Arabidopsis thaliana: one gene and its partners. The protein of the gene in region 1 interacts with the protein of each later gene in a pairwise test. Each region holds a gene or a part of one and is shown in the gene's direction. Other genes may lie near its edges. The genes, in order: AT3G11130, AT1G05020 and CLC2.

Evidence for each region.
Region 2: the proteins of AT3G11130 (region 1) and AT1G05020 interact in a two-hybrid assay, tested with the Arabidopsis thaliana proteins (one study listed by BioGRID).
Region 3: the proteins of AT3G11130 (region 1) and CLC2 come close enough for resonance energy transfer, tested with the Arabidopsis thaliana proteins (one study listed by BioGRID).

Annotation. Positions count from the first base shown.
Region 1 is NC_003074.8:3,486,772-3,495,195, reverse strand, and holds the start of AT3G11130 (Clathrin, heavy chain), read left to right. Parts: upstream 1-3,130; 5' UTR 3,131-3,528; coding exon 3,529-3,573; intron 3,574-3,908; coding exon 3,909-4,113; intron 4,114-4,652; coding exon 4,653-4,741; intron 4,742-4,841; coding exon 4,842-4,920; intron 4,921-4,998; coding exon 4,999-5,126; intron 5,127-5,225; coding exon 5,226-5,324; intron 5,325-5,406; coding exon 5,407-5,515; intron 5,516-5,601; coding exon 5,602-5,681; intron 5,682-5,766; coding exon 5,767-5,994; intron 5,995-6,080; coding exon 6,081-6,146; intron 6,147-6,746; coding exon 6,747-6,863; intron 6,864-6,970; coding exon 6,971-7,168; intron 7,169-7,252; coding exon 7,253-7,369; intron 7,370-7,468; coding exon 7,469-7,528; intron 7,529-7,730; coding exon 7,731-7,817; intron 7,818-7,916; coding exon 7,917-8,000; intron 8,001-8,086; coding exon 8,087-8,221; intron 8,222-8,310; coding exon 8,311-8,373; intron 8,374-8,424. Other genes in the region: AT3G11150 (2-oxoglutarate (2OG) and Fe(II)-dependent oxygenase superfamily protein), read left to right, coding at 597-1,382, 1,881-2,210. UniProt on the Arabidopsis thaliana protein: Clathrin is the major protein of the polyhedral coat of coated pits and vesicles. Mediates endocytosis and is required for a correct polar distribution of PIN auxin transporters.
Region 2 is NC_003070.9:1,432,897-1,441,175, reverse strand, and holds AT1G05020 (ENTH/ANTH/VHS superfamily protein), read left to right. Parts: upstream 1-3,412; 5' UTR 3,413-3,830; coding exon 3,831-5,792; 3' UTR 5,793-6,021; downstream 6,022-8,279. Other genes in the region: AT1G05030 (Major facilitator superfamily protein), read left to right, coding at 50-173, 530-730, 843-942, 1,166-1,278, 1,348-1,441, 1,518-1,674, 1,872-2,018, 2,118-2,191 and 3 more. UniProt on the Arabidopsis thaliana protein: Adaptins are components of the adapter complexes which link clathrin to receptors in coated vesicles. Clathrin-associated protein complexes are believed to interact with the cytoplasmic tails of membrane proteins, leading to their selection and concentration.
Region 3 is NC_003071.7:16,723,205-16,730,623, forward strand, and holds CLC2 (Clathrin light chain protein), read left to right. Parts: upstream 1-3,219; 5' UTR 3,220-3,359; coding exon 3,360-3,646; intron 3,647-3,994; coding exon 3,995-4,148; intron 4,149-4,461; coding exon 4,462-4,797; 3' UTR 4,798-5,003; downstream 5,004-7,419. Other genes in the region: NRPD1B (nuclear RNA polymerase D1B), read left to right, coding at 1-202; AT2G40050 (Cysteine/Histidine-rich C1 domain family protein), read right to left, coding at 715-2,544; AT2G40070 (flocculation FLO11-like protein), read right to left, coding at 5,174-5,437, 5,517-6,653, 6,961-7,075.

The DNA of each region.
Region 1 (8,424 bases):
TTTTACTATACAAAAGATCTTTTACTTAGTTTGTATCATATTTTCCTCATTATACACATCAACAATTCAACAAATATCAATTTTGTATAAAGATGATTTTATCATGTTTTTCTTGTCTGTTGGTTATATTTGTGTATTCCTTCATTTTGCGATTCTAAAATACTAATAAACACATATAAGAATATTTATCGGTTCAACCAAAAAACAAATTTCCGTAATTAATCATTCCTCTATGTTGTTAGATAACAATTTTCTTAACAAAATTGCTAAAATCTGTAATGGCAAACCCACATATAAATAATATTTGCCGCCTCTAGTTTAAACAAGCATGTAAAAACGTGTTATCGGAAAAAATAACATAATAATTGTAAAATAAATATGCAAAACTTATGTCATTGAAAGAAAAAAAACATGATAAATGTACTTGGTGAATGGTGATATTGTTTTTAATTTTTACAAATAAGATGGTAGAAAATTAGGTTATACATAATCCCGCACGTGTGAGTAAAGCCTTATATATTCCATGCGTACACGCAAGTTATACATATGTTTTCACATATACGCTCTGCCTCTTCCAAAGTCACATCCATCTTTCAATGGCTTTCTCTTCAGCTCACCTCAACCACCACCAACCTTTGATCAAGCACGGTGGAGCCACGGCGGCGCCTCCTCCGACCCCGTCATGCTCACATCTCAACACCACCAGCAAATCGGAGACAGCAGTTGACGCTCTCTCCAGTCTTTTCCACCGTCTCCCTCCTTTGCTTTCACTCCCCAACCGTCGCTCCATCCCTTCTCTTCCGATGGTATCTCTCTCCGCCGGAGATAGACTTGAATGGGACGATCTTATCTCCGCCGTGACTGATTTCGGCTATTTCCAACTCATTAACGATGACTCCGATATTCTTTTCCCTCCTGGGATCGCTGAAGCAGCCGAGTCTGACTCACTCTCGCTCTTAGAGCTCAGTGAAGAGAAGAAGGAATCATCGTTTCCGAAGAAATGGCCGCTAGGCTACGAAGCCGATGCTGAAACGCCATCGTTTTGCCTTGACGCCGACTGTTCAACCGACTCGAGCGAGTTAAATCTGAGTTCGCTCCGTGAGTTCACTCGGACTCTAGAGAAAGTTGGACTGAAGACGGTAGAGATGCTGGCGAATGCACTTGGGTTTGGATATGATTCAACCCGGTTTAATACTCTGATGTGGGTTAACCAAGGTGTTCCTGATGATGAACCGGAGGTAACCAACGGATTTTATCCTTTTGTTGTTTGTTTACAGTATCAGATAAGGGAACAGAAGTATTGTTTGCTAACCGAGTCTGGTTGGGTGTCCGTTTTACCCCGAGTTGACTCGGTTCTTGTGACGTTGGGTGACATTGCTCAGGTTAGTTCTCTTTTGCTTTTGACAATTGACAGAACACATATATCTCTTTTATTTATCTATAATTAATTGGTTAGTTGTCTTCCTTAAATAATTATCAAATTATCATCCTTTGTAATGGAACTTTATTCCACTATACCGTTAACTGGCTGTTTTAATGTATTTTAAACATTATCCAAAATAAATGTTTTCCAACGCATCGTTCAAAAAGAGAACAAGAATTTGGATATTTCCGATATTTATTGTTGACAACAACAACAATTGTGGAGCATAACCGGGGAATGTGTTTTCACTTTTCGTTTGAAACAGATTTATGGCATTGGGAAAGAAATAAGAATTTGGAAATTTCCGATATTTAAATACTTATACACATCACATCGCAATTGTACTTAGTGTCCTATAGAATTCAACAATTCTTTTTTTTTTAGGTCAAAACCTAACAGCTTTCTACAATATAGTTTTCAACTTTTGAACAGCTAACAAACAACTTAAAATTGGCAGGTTTGGAGAAATGGAGAGGTCAAAAGAGTGAAATATCGACCAGTGTTGTGTTCAGGACAAAAAGATGGTCCAGTAAAGTGTGTAACAATGACATTGATGCTTACACTTCCCATGGACAGTATGGTTTCATCATTGAAGGATATGATCAGTGACGGCGACAAAGAAGAAGAGTATGCAGAGGAGGAGGAAGAAGATGGAGGAGCAAGAAGTGATGAGAGAAGGGCATTTAGGCCTTTTAGTTTCAAGGAGTACGCATGGAGAGTGTACCAAGAACGTCTCTTCTTCAGGGATCCACTTGACAGATACAGAATCAAATCTTTAAAAGATTGACGAACCGATGTTTGATTTGTTTGTTTCTTTCTTGGGTTGAATTGGTACTATAGTTCTTGTTGTTACTTTTTTTCCCCCATAAAATCTTTTGATTTTCAGCGGATTGTTAGCATTTTAGCATTGAGATATTTTTGTTTTTGTTCGATTCAGTTCAGAGAATGTTCTATTTTGATAGTCACTCCATCATTCAACTAATTTTTTCATATATACTCATATCAAAACTGTCACTATTTCAAAATCAAACTTTTAGGTTACACCAATGACTCTATCACACTAAACTCAACTCCTAGATTTTATATAGAAGAATCTATGACTTTGATGATGTACTTTAAAACTGAGTCTTTTGAGATCATAACCAAATTCTACTTCATAACTTTTGTTTTCCAATGTTGATTATTTGTTATAATTAGAAGGTGACACAAACGCTTATAGCATCCTGTTTTTGAAAATGAGGAAATACAGTGTTGGCTTTTAATCTCTCATTGAGGCAGAATATCAATGAATGACTTCAAATCTACGTATACATGTTTACTTATTTAGTGATCCATATTGGTGTTGCTCTTTAATTTTCTTGTGAGAATGAATTATATACATCAAAATTGATTATATCATTTAATTCGAGTTAAAATTATAAGTAATACAATCTTCACTAAACACTAATTAAATCGACGTAAATTTCTTATACGATTTTTTCATGCAACACTTAAATCGACATAAATTTAAATATTTTGGTCTTCATACCCTAATTTTGATAAGATATAATAGAAAATTTCGTATATCTTTTTTTTTTTTTGGTAAAAAGTTTTTTTTTTTTTGTTTCATCTCCATATTTAGAAAATTTATTTCAAACTTCGTTCTCGTTTGTGTTCATCTTAATTTTTAACCATGATTGAGTCATTGACCATTGCTCAAAACATACGCATAAAATTCCCAAAAAGTAGTGTGTGTCGTGACAAAACCCGACCCGTCGATTTACGCGGTTTGAAACTCGACCCGAATACTATCCGAACCCGTAACTTTGGCAAAAGCACATCGTACAGCTCAGGCACTTGTAGCACGTCGTCTCTCCTTTGGTTTCTCTCCTTATATTCGACGAGTGACTCCGATTGGATCGCTATTTCGTCATTTCTCACTTTCCAAAAAGAAAAAAACGAATCTCTCTCCACCATCATCACCTTTCTCCTTCACTTGCCTCAGATCTGGCTGCGATTTCAAATCTTCCTTAGTTTCTCTCGCATCGCTCGGCCGTTGACGGTCCCGTCCTTTCCGTGGATCTGATTCTGGCCCCGGATTCTCTCGCCGCGATCTGAGGTCAAACATGGCGGCTGCTAACGCGCCCATCATTATGAAGGAGGTCCTAACGGTGAGTTCTCTGTTTTTAAATCTCCGGGAATCGAGCTAAAATTTTGGACGATTAACATGTTTCTATAGTTGTAGTCTCTGATTTCTATCGATTTGGTTCTGCTCACACTGTTATATGATTGATTCAAGTTTCATTCTGTTCTCAATTCTACCCGATCGTTGAGATCAAGTTCTCTGATCAGATTTTCTCTGCGGACGCTCAGATCTGTGTTATCTGAATGTATATAGTCCTTAGTTTTAAGTTATTGTGTTGCGCAATGTGCTTATCTACTCGGATCTTGTAACTAAGTTAATGAACTATGCCAATTGATTACTTTTGTTTTGGAAATTTTCCAGCTTCCGAGCGTTGGGATCGGTCAACAGTTCATCACCTTTACAAATGTTACTATGGAGTCTGATAAGTACATATGTGTACGAGAGACGGCACCGCAGAACAGTGTTGTAATTATCGATATGAATATGCCGATGCAGCCTTTAAGGAGGCCTATAACTGCTGATTCTGCTCTTATGAACCCAAACTCGAGGATCCTTGCCTTAAAAGGTATTACACTGTTTCCTTCGATCGCATTATCACTTATAACACCCATAAGATTCTCCTTTTGAAGTGTATGATCAGTTATAAGACCCATAAGTGGTTCCTATTAAAGTTTTCTCCAGAACTACCATTGATAGCTTCTCCTTCATTTTGTTAACTGTACATATGCTATTTATTACGGATAGGATGTTTTGATTTATTTGAAGTTTAAATGACTCTGTCCATGTTGTGATGCGTCACTTGATAGAAAACCTATTTTTATTAAAGTAGTATGGAAGTGTAACTACACTCTTCGAGTTTATGTTGTAGTCCTATACTCTTTTTCTGGATTTGGGGTGATAGCATGTTTAATGCTGTAGAAAACATCAGTATAGCGCTCTCTGTTTTCCAACACGTGTTATATTTCTCGTGGCAGTGTTGTGTCTCAAGCTTAGTGTAGTTAAACTAGAAATTTTGGTTTGTACTGGATGTTTCCTTGTATAAGCTATTACTTATTTCTTCCTTAATTTGTTGTTAACTTTTTCTTAAATTCGTATCGTATATAGCTCAAGTTCCAGGAACTACTCAGGATCATCTACAGATATTTAACATTGAAGCAAAGGCAAAGTTGAAGTCACATCAGATGCCTGAGCAGGTGAATTTTGAAGCAAACAAATTGTAACCCGATTATCTTTCATGTTGTACTCTTCAGACAGACTCTGATTTTACTGGTCTGAATTTTTTGGATATTATAGGTTGCTTTTTGGAAGTGGATCACACCTAAGATGCTGGGACTGGTCACACAAACTTCTGTGTATCATTGGTCAATTGAAGGTTTTATATCTTTAACTTACTGTCAGCTTCTTCATATCATGTATATGTTGTTTCTCATTTTTGCTTCGATATTTCCAGGTGATTCTGAGCCAGTTAAGATGTTTGATAGAACGGCTAATTTGGCAAACAATCAAATTATAAACTATAAGTGCTCTCCTAATGAGAAGTGGTTGGTCTTGATTGGAATTGCCCCTGGCTCTCCTGAGGTAGGGTTCCTGCACCACGTATTAGGTTGAATTAAGACATCATAACGGCAGTCATGTTGTATATTTTTGACGGAATCTTGTCATTATTATCCTCTGTAGAGACCACAATTGGTGAAAGGAAATATGCAGCTTTTCTCTGTGGATCAACAGCGGAGCCAGGCCCTTGAAGCACATGCTGCATCTTTTGCTCAGTTTAAGGTAAACTATGTGATACCTTTGCTACTTCATTCCATGGTCGGATCTTGAACTGTAGTATGACAAGCGACATTATTATTGATAGGTCCCTGGGAATGAGAATCCTTCGATTCTTATATCATTTGCAAGCAAGAGCTTTAATGCTGGGCAGATAACATCAAAGCTGCATGTTATTGAACTTGGTGCCCAACCAGGTTAGCTTAAACTACTGCTCTATATTTTCATGGTTATTGTTAGTTGGTATTAGTCTGATGTTTAAAGGTGGGCGGCTTTTTTTCAGGGAAACCATCATTTACAAAAAAGCAGGCAGATCTCTTTTTCCCCCCAGATTTTGCTGATGATTTTCCTGTGGCCATGCAGGTTTGTAGTTGCATTAGCTGTTCAATTAACTTCAGTAAGTTTCTTGTGAAAAATTCATGACACCGACTTCTCTTTCTCCCAACAGGTCTCTCACAAGTTTAACTTGATTTATGTCATCACCAAGCTTGGCCTGCTGTTTGTATATGATCTAGAGACAGCTTCTGCTATCTACAGAAATCGGATAAGTCCGGACCCAATTTTCTTAACGTCTGAAGCTTCCTCAGTTGGGGGTTTCTATGCCATTAATAGGCGAGGACAAGTTCTTTTGGCAACAGTAAATGAGGCCACCATAATACCTTTTATTAGTGGTCAAGTATGTTCAACTTTTACTTTGTTCTTCTCTATATAATCTATCTATTCATCATGACATGCTAAGAAATCTATGCCTTTATATTACAGTTGAACAATTTGGAACTTGCTGTCAATCTTGCTAAAAGAGGAAACCTCCCTGGTGCAGAAAATCTGGTATGTGATAATTATCTTGGATCAGATGTGTGGATCTATTTTCTTGGTGAAGTCATTATTGTGCCAATTTGACGAAAAAGGTCATTCTGATAGAAACAATAATGTAGAAAATTAGAAATCGAGATTTGACGCTTCCTCCGTTTCAATATACAAGTGCATTTTTGACATTTTCAAGCAAATGAAAGAATAATTAAATGTTACATGATATCCTAGAAGACAATTGTCTCTTGGATTTAAATTCTATTTCACATTGTTAATTAATATTTAAATAGGGGTAAATAGATAAATGTATTACAAAATTTACATTGAATCGTAAGATGACACTTTGAAACGGAGGGTGTACATGTTAATGTTAAAATTCTACAAAAAACTAAGTGAATTTGATGATAAACCTCTTCCAAACTCCCAAGACATCTTATACCGATAGAGACTAAAGATCCATAACCTATTTAAACCATGGTTACTTGAAAGTAAACACAGTTAAACCCTACTAACCTAAAAACACTTAGTAAATATCATAAACTCCTTAGACCTCTAAACCCATTGCTCGAATTACATTTCTTAATGCAAAGTTCCTCATATTCAATTTTGATGTTACAGGTTGTCCAGCGGTTCCAAGAGTTATTTGCTCAAACAAAGTACAAGGAGGCTGCTGAGCTTGCTGCTGAATCTCCTCAGGGCATTCTACGGACACCTGATACGGTGGCCAAATTCCAGGTATATGTTCCATATTCAAGCAAAGAATCCTCTGTGAACATGTTGTCTATAATGTATGTTTGTAACACCAGTCTGAAACTACAACATCACACTTTACAATTTTGCAGAGTGTTCCTGTACAAGCAGGGCAAACTCCTCCATTGTTACAGTATTTTGGGACCCTTTTGACTAGAGGGAAGCTCAATTCATATGAGTCTTTGGAACTATCTCGGCTTGTTGTGAATCAAAACAAAAAGAACCTCTTGGAAAACTGGTTGGCAGAGGATAAGTTAGAATGCAGTGAAGAACTCGGAGACCTTGTCAAAGTAATCTTAAAATGACCATTTTCATTTAAAGTGTCTCCTATGGGCTTCTTTAGTATGCTGTAACGGTAATATTTTCTGATTCAGACTGTGGATAATGACCTTGCTCTAAAAATATACATCAAAGCTAGAGCTACTCCAAAAGTCGTTGCAGCTTTTGCAGAGCGAAGGGAGTTTGACAAAATATTGATTTATTCAAAGCAGGTAAACAATTAAGTTTTAAAGTTTGCCCCCTCCGTTGTTATGTTTACCCTAAAGGTCATTGTGCTCAAGAGGTACCATTGTTTTATGTTGTGACTCTAGGTTGGGTACACACCTGATTACATGTTTCTTCTGCAAACGATACTCCGTACGGATCCTCAGGTTAGTTTGCTGCACTTTTGATACTTTGCAACATATTAAACTGTGGAAGGACTGGTTTACTAGATTCTTGTTCCGTAATCACAAGAAGAGTCATAAATTTTGGCCTGCTGTTGTTTATCAAGCAACTAAGCTTTTGCCCTGTAAAAGATCAATAGTCTTTTTTTTCTGCTAATTATCTTCTTTTTTTTCCTGCTAATTGCAGGGAGCAGTAAATTTTGCTTTAATGATGTCCCAAATGGAAGGAGGTTGTCCAGTTGACTACAACACTATCACTGATCTTTTCCTTCAGGTGAACACGTAGAATATACTGTGTACATAAAATTGTATCTCATTACTTGTTTCACAAGAGAGCTATCATGTGCTAATGTACTTACTTTTGCATATTCAGAGAAATCTGATCCGTGAAGCGACTGCTTTCCTTCTGGATGTTCTGAAGCCAAATTTACCCGAGCATGCTTTTCTGCAAACTAAGGTTGAAAAGAGTTGCCACCTTTTACTTCTCTGTGCTTTCCCTACTCACCTTCCTTTCTTAGACCTTTTAGTGCACTCTCAACACAGGTTTTGGAGATCAATTTGGTAACCTTTCCTAATGTGGCTGATGCAATCTTAGCAAATGGGATGTTCAGCCATTATGACCGGCCTCGTGTTGCTCAGCTTTGTGAAAAGGCTGGACTTTACATCCAATCTTTAAAGGTTTTTGCTCAATGTCTTCTTTAATATTCTTGGCCTAATAGATGTATTTTTTTTTCCCCTCTAACTTCGTTTCCTTTTGCTTTGTGCAGCATTACTCAGAGTTACCTGATATCAAACGTGTAATTGTGAACACACATGCTATTGAGCCACAGGTATTACCTCTGAACTAATTGTTGGTTGCTAAACAACTCGATGTTCAAGTT
Region 2 (8,279 bases), on another chromosome or scaffold:
CAATGTTTATCTGTTTGAAATATTCTAACTTTATTCAAAATTTTAACAGATGACGATCACGAGATATCGCCAGTTCCGCCGGAGAAATTCTCCGCTGATTTGGGATGGTTATCGGCTTTTCCTCATGTATCAGTTGCTTCTATGGCCAATTTTCTCTTTGGTTATCACATTGGGTAATAATATAGCCAATTCACTGTTGCCAAATTTGTGAAGTAACAGTCGTTGTTGTTTGTTTCACTGGCCTAGTTTGATTTCTATACCAGAAGATTAATCTCTGTTCGTGTAGTAGTGTTAATGCTTGGTTGTGTTACAGAATTCGAAAAAAAGTTTCATTTTGACATTGCTGGTGAGAAACAGCTTCAATTTGAGCTTACAAAGATGTTGATTAGATTGTTTTTACAGAGTGTTGATTTGTCCCCGTCTTGACAATTTGTTAGCTTCCAGTGAGAAGAATATGAGTTAGTCAGGTTGATCTGGATTAGTTTTTCGAAAGCTTAGTACTTATAATACTATCAGTTTGTTCTTGCAGAGTGATGAATGGCCCCATCGTGTCTATTGCGCGTGAACTTGGGTTTGAAGGCAATTCTATTCTTGAGGGTCTTGTTGTGAGCATATTTATTGCCGGTGCATTTATTGGTAGCATAGTCGCCGGTCCACTAGTTGACAAGTTTGGCTACCGACGCACCTTTCAGATTTTCACGATACCCCTCATTCTTGGTGCCCTTGTGAGGTAATATCTTGTTACTAAGGTGAATCTTGATTTCGTTATGTTAGTAACAATTCCATGATGATGTTTTAAGTTGTGAGGTAGCAGCATAACTAAATTTTACTTTTTCTCTCAGTGCACAAGCTCACTCCTTGGATGAGATCTTATGTGGAAGATTTCTTGTTGGTCTTGGTATTGGCGTCAACACAGTTCTTGTTCCAATATATATATCCGAGGTAATCTAATATGTGATTCCTTTTCAACTTCATGTTTTAACTATTTGGCTTCTTCTGCTGTAAGATCTAGGACATTTCTTAAAATTGATCCTATGTACTCTCAGACTCTCAGTACAATAAGTTGTGGTTTAGCATTCTTTTGCTTAGCATATTTTGCATTTCATATGTTCGGCTGAAGAGTCTTGTTACTTCTGATATTAAGCCAACCATTTTTATTCTATAGGTTGCTCCGACGAAATACAGAGGTTCCCTTGGAACTTTATGTCAAATTGGCACTTGTCTCGGGATAATCTTTTCTCTTCTCTTAGGGATTCCTGCAGAAGATGACCCTCATTGGTGAGCTTCATTTAGCTATCTATACATTTCACTCTTCACTTCATTCTCCTCATGTATACTACTGTTCAGGTGGAGGACAATGCTCTATGTAGCGAGTATGCCTGGTTTTCTTCTTGCACTTGGTATGCAATTTGCAGTAGAAAGTCCCCGTTGGCTCTGTAAGGTATAAGTCGCCTCTTTTAATCATGAGGAAGCATTGATTTTCCATGTTGAAATCGTGTCTCATGATACTTGTTTAGGTTGGACGACTTGATGATGCCAAAGTAGTGATAAGAAACATCTGGGGAGGATCTGAAGTCGAGAAAGCTGTAGAAGATTTTCAGTCGGTTATGAAGAATAGTGGCTCCAACTTAAATAGCAGATGGCTGGAACTCCTTGATAAACCACATTCACGAGGTCATGTTAAGGTTGCTTTTAATGTTAGTTCTAACTTCTAAGGGTGTTATATTATACCATAAATCAGAAACTGAAAACATTCAAGTTTAAGAATAACCTTTTCCAGGACTTTGATCTAAGAAACTGAGAATATATAACTTCATACATGAAAAATCTATGTAGCTAAATTGTATGTCTTGTTGATATAATGGTTGCAGTTGCATTCATTGGGGGCTCCCTTTTTGTCCTACAGCAATTCGCGGGCATAAATGGCGTTCTTTATTTCTCATCTTTAACATTCCAAAATGTTGGAATCACGAGTGGTGCTCAAGCAAGTCTATATGTTGGAGTCACAAATTTTGCAGGTTCTCAAGTCTCACCTATATCAACTTTAAATTTAGATGATTGTTTTTTTCTACTGTTTCCATCACAATGTCCCTTTTCTGAACTGTTGGGTCTAATAGGTGCTCTGTGTGCGTCTTATTTGATTGATAAGCAAGGAAGAAAGAAGCTTCTTATCGGTAGCTACTTGGGAATGGTAAATATCTTTTTCTTTTATCACATAAACTCTTTTGCTTTTCACTGCTTTAGCTTATTTTGATTGAATTGATTTGGTGTCACAGGCAGTCTCTATGTTTCTTATTGTTTATGCTGTTGGTTTCCCCTTGGATGAAGATCTGAGCCAGAGTTTGTCAATACTTGGAACACTCATGTAAGTAGCTTGAAGTCCAGCAATTACTAGTCTCCTTTTCTCAGCTCATATAGTACCCAAAAAAAGACAGAAACGTATCATATGTTTGGTCCTGTTACAGGTATATATTCAGTTTTGCAATTGGAGCTGGTCCTGTAACAGGTCTCATCATCCCTGAGCTAAGCAGCAACAGAACGCGTGGAAAAATCATGGGTTTCAGCTTCTCTGTACATTGGGTATGTGTTTTTTTAGTTTTCCCATAAATCATTTTATAACCTTTTGAAGTTTGAAGAATGACGAAGCAAATGTTCTTCAGGTCTCCAACTTCTTGGTTGGTTTGTTCTTCCTGGATCTGGTGGAGAAATACGGGGTTGGAACGGTCTATGCCAGCTTTGGCTCAGTATCATTGTTGGCAGCGGCATTCTCACACCTCTTCACGGTGGAAACAAAGGGTCGATCACTAGAAGAGATCGAACTGTCTTTGAACTCCAGAGACGACCTGAGTTAAAAAAAAAAACGGTATAAGTGAAAGAAAGAGAGAAAGACCTCAAAATTTTTATCAGTTTTTCATCAGTTGTTGTAAAATGTAAATAGCCTGGAAATTAGCTTGTGAGAAATCTTGTGAGTATATAGATATACTTAGGTATGTAAGAAAAGATTTATAAAAAATGCGAAAGAAAGTTGACAAGGATTACACAAAATACATACTTATGAAAGGTTTGTGCCTATTTACAAGTGGTAAGACGTTCTTGATTTATAGCTTAATGTAGTAACATTGTCTCGATCTAGACTATACATGCTTACCATGTCATGGTGAAAATCGTGAGTCCATAACTCATGATCTCTATATATTCATATTCATATATAATACTGGTTTGCACGTCTGCAAACAAAGATAAAGATTTCTGATAATATTAAATTTATCCCAAGAATATTGAATATAAAGATGCTAGCTGGTTCTCTGAAAAAAAAAAGCGTACACAGCTTGTCATTGAATTTATAACCTATACGAATATGAGGCTCGTAGAAACAACTCTTAAGGAATTGTGAGAGAATGTTACTTTTAGCCGATCAAAAAATTTGTAACATAAATACACTGACAAGATATTTGTATTATAATAAGTTTTCGAAATTTGAACACAATTCTATGCATCATGCTTTTTCTTCTAACAAGAAGAAGAATTTAAACACAATTATATATTTAACGCGCCAAAATCGCGTGTGAAGTCTCTCTATTAGTCAACGCTATATCTTGAAAGGGTCTCGAGACTCTCCAGCCATTTTATTCTGCCTTCCTCTCTATATTTAGAAGAACAAAAATTGAAAAAAAAATCCTTAGAGAGAGGAAAAAAATTTAGAGGAAAATCTTCTAATTTGGTTTTAATTCTTCGTGATTAATCGCTAATCCAGAGTGATTAAGAAATTAAAACCCCTTGAGGAACAAAGAAGACGTTTGGGTGAAATTAAAAGCGCGACGACGAGGACAATGCCGAGCAAGCTTAAAAAAGCGATTGGTGCGGTTAAAGATCAGACAAGCATTAGCCTCGCCAAAGTTGCTAACGGAGCCACCGGAGGCGGCGATCTCACGACTCTCGAAGTTGCGATCTTGAAAGCTACGAGCCACGACGAGGAAGTCCCAATCGACGATCGACTCGTAACAGAAATCCTCGGAATCATATCCTCCAAGAAATCTCACGCCGCCTCTTGCGCCGCCGCGATCGGTCGCCGTATCGGGCGTACACGGAATTGGATCGTCGCGCTCAAATCCCTAGTCCTCGTCCTCAGGATTTTCCAAGACGGTGATCCTTATTTCCCTCGCGAAGTCCTCCACGCCATGAAACGTGGCGCCAAAATCCTCAATCTCTCCAGCTTCCGCGACGATTCGAACTCGTGCCCTTGGGATTTCACTGCTTTCGTCCGTACATTCGCGCTTTACCTCGACGAACGTCTCGATTGCTTCCTCACCGGAAAATTACAGAGACGGTACACAAACCGAGAACAAACCGGAAGAATCAGCACCAACTCAACAACAAGATCCCGGTTTAATCCCAAAGCCGGAATTAAATCCCACGAACCGGCGGTTCGAGATATGAAACCGGTAATGCTTCTTGACAAAATCACGTATTGGCAAAAATTACTAGACAGAGCAATCGCGACGCGGCCGACGGGAGACGCGAAAGCCAACAGGCTCGTGAAAATGTCGCTTTACGCCGTCATGCAAGAGAGTTTTGATCTTTACAGAGACATTTCCGATGGATTAGCGCTTTTGTTAGACAGTTTCTTCCATCTGCAATACCAATCTTGCATCAATGCGTTTCAAGCTTGTGTTCGAGCTTCGAAACAGTTCGAAGAGCTTAACGCATTCTACGATCTTTCCAAATCGATCGGTATAGGAAGAACATCGGAGTATCCTAGCATTCAAAAGATCTCTTTAGAGCTTCTTGAGACATTGCAAGAGTTTTTAAAAGATCAATCGTCGTTTCCAGCGAGCTCAGGGTTGTATCCGTCACCGAATAGTTTTCTTCCTCCGCCTCCATCGTCCAAAGATTCAGCGGTTTCAAGCTCGCTTGATTTTGGGGATTCCACGATTGATACGTCGGAGAGGTATTCAGATTACGGGTCGTTTCGTAGTACTTCGTTGGAGGATTTGATGAGCAGGACTGAAGCAGGGACTAGTAGTCCTCCAATGTCTTGTCATTCTGAGCCATACGGAGGAGGACGAGATGATCCTAATGGGAATAATTTTGATACGGTTTCGACTAAATCGCTTCCCAATAATCCCTCTGTTTCTGCTTCCAATCTCATATTAGACCTATTGTCATTGGATGACGTAAGTAACACGGCAGAAGCAGAAGATGTTGAAGACAAGAAGAAGCAAGACGATTCAAAGGCAGAGACTTTCGATCCTTGGGAGGCGTTGATGTTGAGAGATGATCCGAAGAAGAAGATAGAAACGATTGAGGAGGAACCTTCAACCGCTGAGGACCATCAGAGAGATTCAGGGAATTGGTTGCTTGCGTTAGAAGAAACTGCTACGCAGGTGCAGGGTAATAACTCGATGGCGATAGTACCGTTCGGGTTAGATGATCCGATGCCTGCGTTTCAAGCCGCCACGGACCAATACAACCCATTCTTGGAAGAACCAGTTGCGCAGTTAGCTACAGCCGGAGAACCAATGATCACGTTCGGTGGCTTGGCTTTGACAGGGTTTCAGCCAGAACCGACATTTCAGGTGAACGTTCCTGATGATTTTGAGCCGTCTTCTACACCAACATTTAAGGCCACGGAGACTTTGCCTATGAAATGTGACCCGTTTACAACATTTGAGAGTTTTGGGTTCGGAGAGACATTTTCAGAAAATGGAGGGGTAAATCAGCAATCTGTATTGCAAGAACAGCAGATATGGTTGCAGAACCAGAAAAAGATCATAGCCAAGCACTTGAGTTGATACAAAATTTATTTGGCTAGACAGAGGTTGAGATGTTTCTTTGAGTTTTTCTTTTGTTACATTGTCAACTTAACTCTTAACTCATTTTTCCATAACTTAGAGAAATGTGAAATTCAGAAATTCTTTGATTAAAAAGATATTTCCGCGGATTCTATCTTCGTACTTGCATTCCTGTGTATACACGATGTATTTTGTGTGTCTTGTATCATAATCACATTGAGAATTTGATTTTCAAGTATATCTCAACGAATAACACTCAAATATCTAAGTTCACCTTCTGAATACATTTACGTACACGGTACACTTTGGGATTTACTTTTGAATATGTTATTTTCTTTGAAGTTTTTGGGAATTGAAATTTAGCTAGCATTTTGATCATCGTGATGATGTTATGTAGCATTTAGTTTATGTATTTTTGAAAATATTTATGTATTCATTTTTAGTCTATATTAATATAACAAGTTTTCACATAATCACACAACAGATGCATGCATCTAATGTGTGTGTATTAGATGAATGTATCCGATATGCGTATTAGATGCGTATATCTGGCAAACAATTTTTTGCATTTTATTTTCCGATATGCATGTATTTATGTGTTATGATATGCATCCGTGATAATGCGAATGATAAAATGAATGTATATCGGTGGAAGATAACGAAGAGGGAAGCCAAATGGAATAAATTAAGGAGGTCCACTAGTAGGTCAAGTTGGCTTTGTGGTGTCGATAACATGAGATTGACCAAAGCTGTAGCTTGACCCCAAGGCCACGAGGGAGAAAGATCTACCAAACCAAAATCATCATAACACATCTCTTTCTAGTATATAGCCCACCACAAATATTAATTCTTTTAATAGTTATACACCACAAATTTTATCCCCCATTGGCCATTGACTAGAGTCGTTTTCGTCTTTGACAGTGGTAAAAGCTTCTGTATATGTGAATTTAGGATTCCACCTTTCTTAGGTTTCTCATTACAAGTTGATTTAACTTCTTGACTTCTCAAGTTGTTGTTTTGTAATTTAGTAAAAATTTGCTTACAAGTCATACATGATTGAATATAACACCGGCTGCTAAGCCTATTTTTCTATCATAAGTTTCGCTTTCGAGTCAAAATGTTAGTCAACATGAAATAAAACACGTTTCTTTATTTGTTTTGCTTATTGATCAACTTTAAAATAGTCCCATAAAATAGCAAATATTAAGAAATTTCAAATCAATACATTAGTTGCCAAAACCCGTCTGTGATATTATACTTTTTGAGGCTCCATAATAATGACGTGAGATTTGTTTGTGACTGAGGAAGTGGAAAATAAAGTTAAGCATGTCTTACTATTATCAAATATCAGTTTTTCTATAACAAAGTATGAATGTTGATCAAAGACAAAAACAAAAAAAAGGTGATCCACCTTTCTCCAAATAGAAAGGAAGTAAGGCAATGAATGTTTTTTTTTTTTTTTTCCATTGCATTTGCTTTTAAATCCTTATAAGAATTTGAAAGAAAAATATCTTATCAACTCTTAGAGGTGATCTTTGGGCCAAAGAGGGAACCACGTAATCGAATCTGAACTTCTCCGCTTAAATGGGAAATTTTATTAGATCTGATAAACGGCCAAAAGTGATAGCTCATGATTCTTAATATAGACGTGCATACAGAGATGTTGTTACCGGCCGAAGAGCAGCTTCGTAATCAACGGACACAAATAAACCACTATTGGTCCATCAAAATTAATACAAAACGAATGAAAACTGCTGTGTCATAAGACTAAATAATTTTGTATATTATTATGATTTAGATGGATGCGGTCTACAAATTTTTTTAACAAAAACCAACCATTAGTTTGTTTAAGTTACTTGAAAACAAGAAAAGGTTCAGTGAAAGGTGATATATAAGCTATTATTATTATACACAGAGTAAAAGGAAGAAATGTGAAAAGGAAGATTAATCCACACTAAAAGTAAAAGGAAGAAAACGGGTCAAACAATGAATCGTCTGACTGAGTAATAATATACGTCGCTGTCATATATTTTGTATAACCATAAATTTTTTATATTTTTTCCGACCCAAATTATTTTTAGTTTTCTATAGCTAGTTACTAAATTAAAGGTGATGAATAGTAATCATGACTTTATGTCACACGATAAGGTTATTATCACCTACCTTTGAGTATATTTAGGATTTTCCGAAGACTTGGACGACCCAACTCAGTTTGGATAAAACCTTGTGGTCTATTCTAAATTTAATTCTAATTTACTTCTGATTATGTGGATTTATACACGGTTAAACATCAGAGGCTGAATAATAATTAGTTTGATAGATCTGATAGTTCCTCTGTTTTCTTTTTCTTTTTTGAGTTGATTATACTGTTTGCTTTTGTTGATTATTAGTCCAAAACATTAAAAGAACAAAAACAAAAAAAAGTGTTCACGCTTTTTGGTCGACCGTAACATACTTTATTGAATTTTGTTAAAAAATCATTACACA
Region 3 (7,419 bases), on another chromosome or scaffold:
ATCTCAGACGCAGTCTCAGTCTCAGTCTCAGTCTCAGTCTCAGTCTCAGTCTCAGTCTCAGTCTCAGTCTCAGTCTCAGTCTCAGTCTCAGTCTCAGTCTCAGTCTCAGTCTCCATCCCAGACTCAGACTCAGTCTCCGTCTCAGACTCAGGCTCAGGCTCAGTCTCCATCATCTCAGTCTCCGTCCCAGACGCAGACATAAACTCTTGAGAACCAAAGAAGATTTGGTTCGTTTAGGTAAACCATTCAGTCTCCACTGTTTTGTTTTGATGTACATAAAGAGTGGAGAGAATGGCGGTTTTTATCATTAAAAGACTCTGATGTGAAGTGCAAAACAATGTGTAAATGCAGTTCTCTAGTTTCAGATCGTTTGTCCTAAAATCAGGTTTAGGGTTTCAGTGACCGGTTTAGTTATAAAGTCTAGCGGCATTGTAGTGATGTTTTGACATTGACTATTTATCGAGCAATGCATTTGCCATCTCATTTGCTTCTTGTTTGAAACCTTCGAGAGACGAAAATGATTGCCTTTCTAATCGCATAAGCACATGGTTAGAAATTATATCTTGTGTTGACCGATGCAGCTCCTCCGGCAGAAAATCATCTAATTCAAAGAGCTCTTGTGTAATTGCACGAATTGAGAAATCAGTTTAGTTTTATGAAATTGAAATCAATAATAGAGAAATTACATTTTATTCAGATGCATGGATACATTGTTTAAATACATTCATATGAACATTCAACACGGTAGCCTACATCATATATTTTCCCTATACAACGGTTCTTGCAAGAACCACATAATGGTCGAGAAATATTACATTTGGGAAGAACTTGAACCCTGCATACCCATTTATTGAAATATTGACCGGGCTTGATATATGGGTCTCCACCAATTAAGCATTCAATATGAAAAGTGGTGCAACACTCGTTGCACCAGTAGAATACTTTTGTGCATGTATCCTTTAAACTACGTTCACATATTTCACACCATTCTTGCTCACGTACTTCTTCACCAAATGAAATTGTGAGGAAGTGTGTGTCATGCTTATATTTTATTTTGTATGGTAAGGTAACACACTTAAAACATACAATGAAATTGCATTTGATGCAATTTAATTGTTTTAAACATTCTGTTTTGCATATATGACATATGGGTTTTATTTCTGGGTTTAAAGCTAGGAACAAGGGATCTTCATGACCTTTGTAATCAAACGGCTCAGAAATTAAAGCGCACCTTACATCAAGCTTGAAAAAGTTGCATACCTCCATCCTACAGTGATAGGCAAAGCCAATAGAACCACGATCACAAGCGTTGCAACGGAAGGTATTGTAAGTAAAGCTATTGATAACCTCCAATACAAGTGGGTGAGGATGTAAGGCATGTTGGATTCTACGGGGAGCCTTAGCACATGTTTCATGGAGGATGAAATCACACTCCATACAAACATATAAGTTACCTTCATAGATAGGAATGGCACACGCTTGACAAAGCATGTTTTCATCATAAACGTTGCTGACCTCGAGTCGGAGATGATGATTATGATGAAAATAAAGTATCACTCCTTCAGATATCACCTCGAACGGTCCATCATTTTCTGTTATATCGATTATCTCTGGTATACCTTCGAGTTCTTTTCCATCCCACACATCTTTCCCAAGAGCGCATATTGAATGAACAACATAATCGCTACACGTGTCACAAGTATATGCACCATAATCAACGTTAATACTTAAACGGCAAACTCCACAAAACCATTCTCTAGATGTAAGAGAAAAAGTGAACGAGATACGATGACGGTGACGTGATATCTTGATGATGTGTGGGGAATTCATACAGTCATTATGAGTTACAAAGTTACATCTGAAACAAACGTAGGTGGGATAAATTTTTCTCAACAAACCACAAACATTACAAGTCAAGGAAGTTTGTCTGGGGAAAAAAGTGAGAGGATGGATATGCTTTTTTGGTGGGTCTATAAGAAAAGGTATTGGCTTCATCGCACATATGGGATGCATAAAAGCCTGGCATGTGGTGCAATGATAAATCAACCAATGTGCTTTTCTTCCACAACATAAACACTCAATCTTACGAAAGTTATCATCATGAAAGAAAAGTTGGAGATAGTGCTCAGGGTGGTAAGGATGTTTGATTATAAGTGGAGATTGAATGCATTCTTTGTGTAATTTTATGCTACAATAGTTGCAGAAATAATAGTCGGTGCCGGAATTTGAGCCTTCGCATATGTAGCATCCACCATCAGCATCAAATTCTTTATTGTTGCACCAAAACAAAGGGAGTACATGATGATCATGAGAGGTCGTCGTTGTAGAAAGGACGTACTCGGGGGAAGAATTAAGCGGATAAGTGTCTGAATACGACTTGATTTTTCGACGTCGTGATCGAGGGCATAAGAAAAGAGGTTGAAGGTCACTGGAGGAGGTTACGGTCTGTGTTTGGGGTATGGGGCAATATTTCGGATGATGGTATACCAAAACAAGGTTACCATCCTTTTCCACCTCATAAAATCCTCCGACGCTAGAATCCATGAATGTGTTAAGTCTTTGTTTATTTTTGTTTTAGGCTTTTATAAAAAAATATTTGTCATACAAGATATCAAGTTGTTAACATTTTTCCTCTATAAATACGAAAATTTGATTCCAAAAGTTTTCTTCTACTCTTGATTATTAATATACTTAAACGTGAAAACATATGGTTGATTTTGTTCCTTTTCTCAGTAGTTGTGATGATAATGTTCTTCTTTACATGCAAATAAAGAATCAACTTTTCTTTGCACATAGTTTTGTTCATTTCTGATGTTCCATGACTTCAAGACTCTATATTAATCGTGCTCAATGATTGTGCCAATTCATTAGTAGTGTATAATTTGAGACTTTGTGAACTCAATCACGAAACACACAAAAAGAAAATGAAGGTTTATTCAAAAAAAAAAAAAAAATGAAGGTTTGAAATGGAAAATGAAACAATCGTACCAAAACCAAATTGCAAAACGTTTTAAACAAGAAAAGAAGAACACGTAGTTTCAATGATCCGGTTGAATTAGAAAGTAGAACAACCGAACCCACACTAAATTGCAAAACGTTTTGATTAAGATAAGAAGAACACGTATGGAACATTAATTGTAATCTAATGGATCGGTTGGAACCTAAACCATAACTAAACCGGAATACTCATGATGAATTGGAAGTATTTGGGCTCGAAAAAAGCCCATTAAGAAAAATGGAAATAAAAATAGTCACAAATCTCCGTTATTAATTTTTGCCATAAGCTTGAGAACACTTGAAAAGACAAGATTCGCGAGTTCTTCGTTCTGCCTTTTTTTTTTTTTTTGTGTGTTCGAGAGATGTCTGCCTTTGAAGACGATTCCTTCGTCATACTCAACGATGATGCGTCTGAGTCTGTTCCAGTCTCAGGCTCTTTTGACGCCACTGATTCTTTCTCAGCTTTCGACGGCTCACTCCAAGTCGAGGACTCCGTCGACGATGTTTTTGCAGCGCCGTCTTCTGACTACGGTGCTTACTCCAACGGTGACGGCATCTTCGGATCCAACGGGGATCACGACGGTCCTATCTTGCCACCACCGTCGGAGATGGAATCAGATGAGGGATTTGCTCTTAGAGAATGGAGAAGGTTAGATCTACTCAAAGTTTTGATCTTTGTTGCTTTTTGTTTACTTCTTCCTGAAGAAAATCGATAAAGTGGATAAATTTAGTTGAGAATCTCTTTGATAATCTGAGAATTTCAATTTTGAATTTTGATTCACAATTTTTGTGAATTGAAGTTATCTGCTAGTTAGTGTCCATTGTTCTCAGAAGTAATCAGTTTATTAGATTGGATCTGTTACTTTTGCTTAGAGTTTATTGCTCAAATCGTGTGTTCTAGAATAACATCTTGATCCGTAAGCTTGTAATGCTTGTTGAGTTGATTAAGATGTATAGATCTGATTTCGTGCTATGGCTTTATTATGTTTATGTGTAGACAAAATGCAATTCAACTTGAGGAGAAGGAGAAGAGAGAAAAGGAATTGTTGAAGCAAATTATTGAGGAAGCTGATCAATACAAAGAAGAGTTTCATAAGAAGATTGAAGTAACTTGTGAAAACAACAAAGCAGCTAACAGAGAGAAGGAAAAGGTTTGTTCTTTTGCTAAAAGATTTGAATTTTTTATCATCTTTTCTCAATCTGTGTTGTTGTCATGTGGTTTGTGGAGAATTGTCAATGCAAGTCAATGGCTTGTTGATATTAAAATTTTCAAACTTTGACCATCTTAGTCTTAAGTCAACTGTGATTGATTATCTTAATGCATTGTCAGTTTTGAGATTATCTTAATACATTGATTATCTTCATTACGTGTGTGATCTTTGATACCTTTTTATCTGCATATTGCATTGTTACAGTGTTGATTAAACTTTCACTTATGTGTTTATTTGTCTTTGAACACTTAAGCTGTATCTGGAGAACCAAGAGAAGTTCTACGCGGAATCCAGCAAGAATTACTGGAAGGCAATAGCAGAGCTAGTTCCTAAAGAAGTTCCAACAATAGAGAAAAGGAGAGGAAAAAAAGAGCAACAAGATCCTAAGAAGCCAACAGTCTCTGTGATTCAAGGTCCAAAGCCCGGTAAGCCAACCGATCTAACAAGAATGAGACAAATATTGGTGAAGCTCAAACACAACCCACCTTCTCACCTGAAACTCACTTCTCAACCTCCATCGGAGGAGGCGGCTGCTCCTCCAAAGAATGTTCCCGAAACCAAGCCCACTGAGGCAGTTACTGCTGCTTAAAAACCTCCTTTGTTTTCTTATTCGTTGCTTACATCTGTGTGAATTCAGTCTTTGCATTTCATTATGTGTTATAAACAGCTGAGAGATTTTATGGTTCATGTGTGTTATTAACATAATTATGTCATATTGGAATGATAACTTTTTATGTTTTAGTCAGTTACCATTGAATAGTGGTTAATATCTCAAATCAATCGGTTAAAGGATCCATCCATTTTAGGGTTAAAGTAGAGACGAGAGTGGAGAGGTTTACATAAAACATCAAAACGCTACTTCACATATCATCATTATCAAACTCGTGTGATAATTAAAACTCACAAACAATAAAAGAGAATCTCAAATGTGAACGTTTTACAAAAGGCTTTTCTTCTTTCTTCCTTCATCTCCCTTGTAAGCTTGCAGGGGACCTGCAACCTCTCTCGCTGCCTGCGTCGTCTTCCTTTTCACTTGCCTCTAAGCAAATGCCATTGTTGTTGCAGACACTGATCTCTGAGCTTGCGTTGCTGCTTGTTGCTAGTGGAGAAGAGTCTGAAACATTCATCGGTCTACCACGTGTATGTCCAGACCTCACACTGTACATTGATGATGCTGGAATATTCGTCATTAGTGGTCTCAGGTTCCCTGGAATAGTTCTACGTATATCCTGTTTTCATCAAAACGTTTGATCATCAGTTAAACGCAATTGCCACCACTTGAGGAAGAGAGAAGAGAGAGATACATACCATATGCCTTATTGCCATATCAAGGGACTTCTTGGAGAGCGTTCTTCCAAATCCTGCACTGTCGGGTGATGAAGACTTTGCAGACAAGTTACCATGAGGAGAACCCTTGTCATCTGATCTGGGTGGAGCAAGTTTCCGCATGTTTATTACTCTCTCCACCATTTTTGTTCCCATCATCACCGGACTAACATTGTCACTGGCTTTGGAATATCCACGATTAACCGCAGGAACAGAGCTACCACTAGAGTACATTGGTGCTCTTCCTCTTGATGGTGAACATGATTGCCTTCTTGGTCTTCCTCCTGGAGGGCCCCCTGGCTCAACTGAACCAGAACGAGAGCTTGGAGCTCCAGGTCTGCCTCTTGTCGCTGAAAGTGGCCTTTCGGGTAATGTTGTCCTTAGATTTGGAGGAGTTTCTAATGAGAAACCAGGCATGTCTGACGGCTTCCATGGTCTTGACCTCACTGTAGGAGATGCTGCACGAGATAAAGCAGGGTTCTTAGATGGTGTTGGCATAGGCTTTGCTGGCGCTGGAGAAGAAGGCTTGATTTGGGATATTGTGGGATTTGCTGTAGTAGTTGCAGCACTTGCAGAAGCAATTGGACGGCGAGTTGGTGTAGATGACCTTGATATGGTTTTAGATGGAGGAAGTGTGGGTCTTGAAGTTGGTGTTGAAGATCTGGCAGTAGATCTTGACAGAGGTGTGGTGGACCTTGAAGGACCTGCAGATTTTGTGGTGGTGCTAGGGGTAGATCTAGTTACTGAACCAGCAGATCTAGCAGTTGAGGTAGTCGGCTTAGATGCAGTAGGTGTGAGCCTAGATGATGATAAACTTGTTGACCTACTCATAGGCGTGGGCTTAGTCGTTGCAGATACTGTGGACCTCGAGTTAGTCAAAGAAGGTCGAGTAGCTGAGGAGACAGTGGCTCGCGAAGTGGGTGTTGAAGGCCTTGAGGATTTTGAATTTGCCGTCAGTGTTGATGATCTTCCAGTGGGTGTGGCAGGTCTTGATCCAGGTCCTCCAGATGATGAAGGTCTTCGACTTGCTCCACTGGAAGAGCTCAATCCAGGAGAAGAAGTTTGTTGTCTAGATGTTAGATGGTTCCTTGCAGCAGACTCTGTTGAGGAATTTGCCAGCTACGACAGATAATTCATAGGTTACCATAACGAAGTAGTGAAAATGTGCTACTCTAAAAAAAATCCAGAGCAACATCCCACATAGCAATAACGATAAATGCGATTTACTAGTGTAAATCATGAAACTTGAAATGTAAACGTCACAGACTGATGCGGCAGGTTAAACTAGTAGTGGCGATTCAAAACATATAAACAATAACAGCAGAGCTTTATTTTAATACTGGTTGCACTACATTAGGTTGTTTATCTAGTATCCATTCCAGGAGTTGATAAAAGAGGTCAGAACACTAAGCAATAACATTCTTACTCTGGAAGTCAATGTAGCCGGGCGACTCTTTGAATCACCAGTCTGACTCATCATAGTCCTATGTGATTCCATCTCCAGCGATGGAAATAGAGGCGTACCTGGAGGGGTCAGAAGCCTTCGAAAGACAAGAAGAAGTTAGGGTGGAAATGATAAACAGATAAATGATATATTGTTCAAGAAAGTATATGAATGTCTAAGAAGAGGTAAACAGAGATGCTGGAATGATGAACACCTTATGCAGCAAAATTCTAAACTTGATAAGAATTCAGTGCAAGACTCGCACACCTCACAAACAAAGGGTTCCAAATTGTGACACCAAATTCGAGTCTATTAGATTAAACACATGCCTTATACAGAATGATGTAATGTGAAGAAACAACACAATTTCAAGGAAACAAAACTACCACACATATATTACTTCAGAACCTCATGGTTAAGATACAGCAAATCAGTAACTAT